2 linked regions of the Anolis sagrei genome follow. The protein of the gene in region 1 interacts with the protein of each later gene in a pairwise test. Links are inferred from orthologs where the notes say so. Each region holds a gene or a part of one and is shown in the gene's direction. Other genes may lie near its edges.

Evidence for each region. The genes of interacting proteins can lie anywhere in the genome.
Region 2: the proteins of REL (region 1) and EXOSC1 interact in binary tests that used the Homo sapiens proteins (3 or more experiments, as listed by UniProt). The two-hybrid records come from large-scale screens. The link is inferred for Anolis sagrei from reciprocal best matches to the Homo sapiens genes REL and EXOSC1.

Annotation. Positions count from the first base shown.
Region 1 is NC_090021.1:12,673,802-12,677,554, reverse strand, and holds the start of REL (proto-oncogene c-Rel), read left to right. Parts: upstream 1-1,374; 5' UTR 1,375-1,623; coding exon 1,624-1,630; intron 1,631-3,753. UniProt on the Homo sapiens protein: Proto-oncogene that may play a role in differentiation and lymphopoiesis.
Region 2 is NC_090023.1:217,772,482-217,776,234, reverse strand, and holds the start of EXOSC1 (exosome complex component CSL4), read left to right. Parts: upstream 1-850; 5' UTR 851-924; coding exon 925-952; intron 953-3,753. UniProt on the Homo sapiens protein: Non-catalytic component of the RNA exosome complex which has 3'->5' exoribonuclease activity and participates in a multitude of cellular RNA processing and degradation events.

The DNA of each region.
Region 1 (3,753 bases):
CCGGGAGAATCCTTTGTTGAGAGGTGTTATTACGGAATCCTGGAAGTTGCAGTTTGGTGAGGCATTTGGGAGAACTCTTTGTTTGTTGGAGGTAGGTCTGAATGTTTCAACTGGCTACCTTAATTAGCACTTAATGGCCTTGCAGCTTCAAGATCTGGCTTCTTACTGCCTGGGGGAATCCTTCGTTGAGAGGCGATGAGCTCTCTTACTGTTATTACGGAATACTGGAAGTTGCAGTTTGGTGAGGTATTTGGAGGAACTCTTTGTCTGTTGGAGGTAGGTGTGAATGTTTCAATTGGCCACCATGATCAGCATTTAATGGCCTTGCAGTTTCAGGGTCTGGCTTCTTACTGCCTGGAGGAATCCTTTGTTGAGAGGCATTATTACAGAATCCTGGAAGTTGCAATTTGGTGGGGCATTTGGGAGAAAGAACTCTTTGTCTGTTGGAGATAGGCGTGAATGTTTCAATTGGCCACCTTGATTAGCATTCAATGGCCTTGCAGTTTCTTACTGCCTGGGGGAATCCTTTGTTGAGAGGCATTATTATGGAATCCTGGAAGTTGCAATTTGGTGAGGCATTTGGGAGAACTCTTTGTCAACCAGGCACATCTTAACACCTCTCAACGAAAGATTTTCCCAGGCCCAGGCAGGCCTTCAAATGCTAATGAAGGTGGTCAGTTGAAACATTCACACCTAGCTCTAGCAGAGAAGAGCTCTTTGCCCCACCCCAGCCATTCCACAGATATATAAACCCATTGTCCTATTTCCAACAGACCTCACTACCTCTGAGGATGCTTGCCATAGATGCAGGTGAAACGTCAGGAGAAATGTCTCTAGAACATGGCCCTATAGCCCAAAAAACCCCACAAGAACCTAACTCTTTGTCTATTGAAGATAGGTGTGAATGTTTCAATTGGCCACCTTGATTAGCATTCAATGGCCTTGCAGTTTCTTACTGCCTGGGGGAATCCTTTGTTGAGAGGCTCAAGAAGACTATGGTAAAACTATAACTCCCAGCCTCCCACAGCAGCAAGCAACTGGCAAATGCAAGTGGTCTGGAGCTGAATCCTTTCTCGAGTGGAGATGCACCAAAAGAAAAGAAGTTGGGTGAAGTTTGAGAAGGTGGGAGAGTGGTGGGCGCGCCTTTGAAGAGGGGGCTCCCCAAACCTGACCTTAAACCCTCAAAGGTTAGAATGCCCTCCCCCCCTTTTTTTGGAGGGGAGTGTGGCTTGGTGTGACGGGGAGTCACGCTCTCTCAGCCCCTCCTACTCCTCTCTTGCCTCTCTCTCTCTGTGCGCCTTATCTCCTCCTTGGCGCACCGGGGTTTTGGTGGTGGGAGGTGGGAGGGGAGACCCACGAAGAAGACGTCACGAGGAGGACGTCACAGGGTGGAAATTCCCCGCCGGATTGTAGGGGGAGCGGGGCGGAGGCTTCGAGGAGGAGGGAGGTCTCCAGCCAGCGCCGCCTCCCAAGGAGGGAGCCTCAAAACCTGCCCCAACCAGGAGGCACTCTTGCCCAGGAAGGAAGACACTCAGAAGGACCAGCTGGATCCCAGGAGAGGCACCCCAAGCCGGGCAAAGAGCTCTTCCCCTTCTCCACCGGGTCCAGGGAGGACAAGCCACCATGGCAGGTAAGCAGGAGGGAGATCTAGTCTTACCCAGTGGAGGGAACTGCATCCAAACTCATAGGAATCCAAAGGTAAAGGTCCTCCCAGGTTGGAATCTTCTCTCTTGGAGGTCCCAACACAGTGACACTATCTATGGCAGGTCTGGGCAAACTTCTGCCCTTCCAGGTGTTTGGACTTCAACTCCCACAATTCCTAACAGCCGGTAGGCTGTTAGGAATTGTGGGAGTTGAAGTCCAAATCACCTGGAAGGGCAGAACTTTGCCCAGGCCTGATCTATACTGAGTTGAAATCCAAAACACTTGGAGGACCAGAGTTTGCCCATTCCTGATCTATGGAGTCATGGAAGATTAATTTCCAAAGGTCTTTAGACTTCCCTAATTTCTCTAAATTAGACTTCCCTAGTTATAATAATAATAATAATAATGAACTGCAAAGACTCTGGCACAAGCCAGTCAAGGTGGTCCCAGTGGTGATCGGCACACTGGGTGCAGTGCCTAATGACCTTGGCCTGCACTTAAACACAATCGGCACTGACAAAATTACCATCTGCCAGCTGCAAAAGGCCACCTTACTGGGATCTGCACACATTATTTGCCGATACATCACACAGTCCTAGACACTTGGGAAGCGTCCGACGTGTGATCCAATACAACAGCCAGCAGAGTGTCTGCTGTGGACTCATCTTGTTGTGTTTCAAATAATAATAATAGGGTTGTTGTAGGTTTTTCGGGCTGTACGGCCATGTTCTAGAAGCATTATCTCCTGATGTTTTGCCTGCATCTATGGCAAGCACCCTAATTGAAAAACTAGAGAAAAATGAGCTATGGCAGGATGGCACCTCTTGCAAAAACAAACTTTAAGAAACTTCCCCCATGTTTTTATGAAAGAACCAATTAGGAAACAACAGTGATAACCCAGGAACAAGACGTAATTATAGTTGTTATTGGGTTGTTGTGAGTTTTCTGGAATGTATGGCCTTGTTCCAGAAGCATTCTCTCCTGACGTTTTGCCTGCATGTATGGCAGGCAGATATATAAACCCCACTTTCCTAGTTCCCAGCAGACCTCACAACCTCTTGAGAATATATAACCTCTGTGAATATATATATGACAGATATATAAACCTCACTTTCCTAGTTCCAACAGACCTCACAACCTCTGAGGATATATATATGGCAGATACATAAACCCAACTTTCCTAGTTTCAAACAGACCTCACAACCTCTGAGGATGCCTGCCATAGATGCAGGCAAAATGTCAGGAGAGACTGCTTCTAGAACATGGCTATACAACCTGAAAAACCTACAACAACCCAATGATTCCGGCCATACAATAATAGCCTTCGACAATACAATAATAATAGGTTTTTCCATGATATTAAGTCCAGTTGCATCTGACTCTGAGGGTTGGTGCTCACCCCCATTTCTAAGCCAAAGAGCCGGCATTGTCCGTAGACACCTCCAAGGTCATGTGGCCGATATGGCTGCATGGAGCGCCGTTACCTTCCTGCCAGAATGGTATCTATTGATCTATTCACATTTGCATGTGAACTGCTAGGTTGGCAGAAGCTGTGGCTGACAACGGGAGCTCACTCTGCTCCCTGGATTCGAACCTGTGACCTTTTGGCCAACAAGTTCAGCAGCTCAGTGCTTTAACCCACTGCGCCACCTGTGGCTCCAATAACAACAACAACAACAACAATAATAATAATAATAATAACTATTATTAACCAATTAACTGTAATGACCAATTCGGAAATGATATTGATAATCCAGGAACAAAAAATGTGTTACGTAGTATAATAATACTAGTATGTTGTCGAAGGCTTGCATGGCTGGAATCACTGGATTGTTGTGAGTTTTCTAGGCTGTATGGCTATGTTACAGAAGCATTCTCTCCTGACATTTTGCCTGCATCTATGGCAGGCATCCTCAGAGGTTGTGAGGTCTATTGGAAACTAGGAAAGTGGGGCTTATGTATCTGCCATACACACACACACACACACCCTAAGGGGTTGCGAGTTCTGTTGGAATTAGGAACGTGAGGTTTATATATATCTGCCATATATATACCCTCAGAGGTTGTGATGTCTCATGGAAACTAGGAAAGTGGGGTTTATATATATCT
Region 2 (3,753 bases), on another chromosome or scaffold:
CATATATATGTGTGTGTTTGTGTATATATGTCTGTCTGCTTATATATATATATATATATATATATATATGCAGACAGACATATATAAACACATACACAAATATATACACACACATAAAACTCATATACACAGACTGGGCCACATCAACGCGTGGCAAGGGATGTTTAGTTATATATAAATAAATACCCCCTTGGAGCAATCTACACTGTAGAATTAACACAGTTTGACACCACTTTAACTGCCCTGGCTCAATGCTATTGGAATCCAGGGGTTTGTAGTTAGATGAAGTACCAGCACTCTTTGGCAGAGAGCTAGCACTGAGCCAGGGCAGTTAAAGCGGTATCAAACCGCATTTATTCTACAGTGTAGCTGCACAAACCGGAGGAAGAAAATACTGCACATCCATTCATAAAACCTCTTAGAAGCTGGAGGTTAATATGGGGAAAGCCAGGTCATTATGAAGGGAAGGAAGGAAGAGAAATCATCACAGCCTCCTCTTTGTGATTGAAAGGGTGGAGGGATGCCAAAGGCTTAGCTATGGAAGACGAGCTCCAAAATAACAATGGAGAGGAACAAAGGAGACTCTCTCCTTTAGGGTTCAAAGCATGCAACACAACGAGGCCAAGGCACGGAGCTTACCTGTTCCTGCCATCCTCAGCCCCAGACGCTTCCCGGTTCCTGCCTCACCTGAGCATCTTCTCTCCCACCCTCCCTTTAACAGCCCCGTCCGCGCATGCACGCTGCATGTCCCGAATGGAACTACGATTCCCGTCATGCCCCGCGCGGCGCCTAATACTCTTCCTCCGACATTTTTTCTCTCTCTCTCTCCCGGACGTCTCCCAAACCGGGGCGAAGCAGTCACGTGACCACGAGAGTAGCCAATGGGAGGCTCGGAGGCCTGGCTGTGGAGAGAGCCTTTCTGTCATGGCGCCCGCGCGGTTTTGCGTCCCTGGTGGGTGACCCAGAATGGGGAATGGATTGGATTGGCGGAGTCTTCGAAACGTGGGAGGGGGCCTCAGTTTATGGAGACATCGTGGGAGAGAAGAGAGCCTTCTGGAAATTGTAACTTCTATGTTTTGGCTGTTGAAAAGGCCAGTGCCATTCTAGGCCGCATCAATAGGAGTATAATGTCTGTATCAGGATCCAAAATGGCTTTTGAACAGGTTAGAGTCGGCATAGGCAAACTTAGGCCCTCCAGGTGTTTGGGACTTCAACTCCCACCATTCCTAACAGCCTCAGGCCCCTTCCTTTTCCCCCTCAGCCGCTTAAGCAGCTGAGGGGGAAAAGGAAGGGGTCTGAGGCTGTTAGGAATGGTGGGAGTTGAAGTCCCAAACACCTGGAGGGCCCAAGTTTGCCCATGCCTGGATTAGAGAGATGGGCCAAAACTAGAAAGAATTCCATCAGGGAGAAATGTAAGGTTTTTACACCTGGGCAATAAACATGAAATGCTTTAGGATGGGTGACAACTGGTTTGAAAACATGTGAAAGGCATCTAAAAGTCTTAGTCGACCACACGCTGAATGTGAGTCAATAGTGAGATGCAGCAACTAAAACAGTCAATGCGATTCTAGGCTGCATCAATAAGAGGATTTATTTATTTATTTATTTGGGGTGCTTCTACCCCGCCCTTCTCAACCCCCTAGGGGGGACTCAGGGTGGCTTACAAAAGGCACAATTCGATGCCTAACAATTACAACATACAATACCATATACAATACACAAATTTACCACATAATATCACAGTTATAACTAATTAAAACCATCAGACAGTATACTAGCAACAATAAAAACATCTTGTGGTCAGTGTTCACCAAATCCAAGTCCGTAAACAATTTAGCATTGTCATTGTCCTTTCCTACTCTGGTCATTCTTGGTTGTCTTTTTCCATCTGCCAGCTTACCCGAAGGCCAGGTCCCACATCCAGGTTTTTAGCTTCTTCCTGAGGGAGAGGAGGGATGTTGATGTCCTAATTTCCCCGGGGAGTGCATTCCACAGGTGAGGGGCCACCACCGAGAAGGCCCTGTCTCTCATCCCCACCAGTCTCGCTTGTGATAACGGTGGGGCCAAGAGCAGGGCCCCCTCAGCAGATCTTAAACTCCAGGGTGGGACGTAGAAGGAGATACATTCGGACAGGTACGCTGGGCCGGAGCCGTAAAGGGTATCAGAATCCAAAATGGTGTAGAGATCAAGGGAAGTCCTAGCCCCCCCCCCCCTCTATTCTGCTTTAGTCAGACCTCACTTGGAATAATAATCCAAGTAATAATAATTGAAAAGAGATATTGACAAGCTGGAAGGTTCTGGCCCAGCCTACCTGTCTGAACATATCTCCCTCTATGAACCACCTCGGAGGTTAAGATCTTCTAGGGCTGAGACTTCCACCTTGGTCCATATATCAAACGGAGAATGTATTGGGAATCTCACATCAGAACAACATACTTTATGTGTGACCAAGACCCAAAAATTACATATAAAACAGCTCTGTACTTAAGCAAAACAATACGTCTGAGAACCACATATGTAGGGCTGATTGGGGGTAAATTGTAGGGGTGATAATGAAATATGATGTATATACTCATCTTGATAAGTTTATCAGTTTTATCACGTCTTATATTTATTTACAGTGTTGTTATAAGTGTCGTATTTTAACTTACTAAGTGGAGTGTGATAAGGTCTTTTCAGTCCTTGTTGTTTTCTTTCTTATTGTGATATGGCCTAAGGGCTAATCAATAACATTACTTACTTACTTCTAGGGCAGTGGTTCTCAACCTGTGGGTCCCCAGGTGCTTTGGCCTACAACTCCCAGAAATCCCAACCAGTTTACCACTGTTCTAGGGAGACCCTGCTCTCGGTCCCACCTTCGTCACAGGTGCGGCTGGTGGGAACGAGAGACAGGGCCTTCTCAGTGATGGCTCGGCTGTGGAACTCACTTCCCAGGGCCCTTCCAGATAGGCCCTTTATCCCAGGATCAGATCCCAAGTTTTCTGCTTTAAACTGGATTATGAGTCCACACTGCCAGATAACCTAGGATAAACAGATAATCTGGGATCATATCCTGGGATGAAGGGGCAGTGGGGAAGGGGCCCCAGTGAAATCAGATCAGCTCCCTCCCTCCGGACCTTTAGAAAGAAACTAAAAACCTGGCTATGGGACCAAGCTTTCGGAGAAGTCAGTGCAATAGGCAGCTGTGAAGTAATTGCAACACAATTGGAATGCCTTCTGGATTATGACTTCGGATCTTATGTGGTTTTTAATAGATATTCTATTATTTTTAAAATTTGTATTGATTTTAGTGTAGGTGTATATTGTATTTGTATATATTTGTAATTACTGCCAGTTTGGAAGCTGCTCTGAGTCCCCTTTCAGGGTGAGAAAGAGCAGGGTAAAAATACAGTAAATAAATAAATAAGGCGTCCACAGAGAAGGGCTACCAAAGTGAGCAAAGGTTTGGAAACCGAGTCCTATGAGGAGCCACTAAGGAATGTGAGTGTGTTTAGCTTGGGGAAAAGAAGGCTGAGAGGACATGAGAACCATGTGTAAATATTTGAAAAGATGTCACATTGAGGAGGAGAAAAGTTTTTTCTGCTGCTCTAAAGATTAGGACATGGAGCAGTAGATTCAAACTGCAGGAGAAAAAGAGTCCACCTAAACATTCAGAAGAATTTCCTGATGGTCAGAGCTGTACGGTTGTGGAATATATTCTGATAGTCTCCTTCTCTGGAGGTTTTAAAGCAGAGGCTGGATGGCCATCCCTTG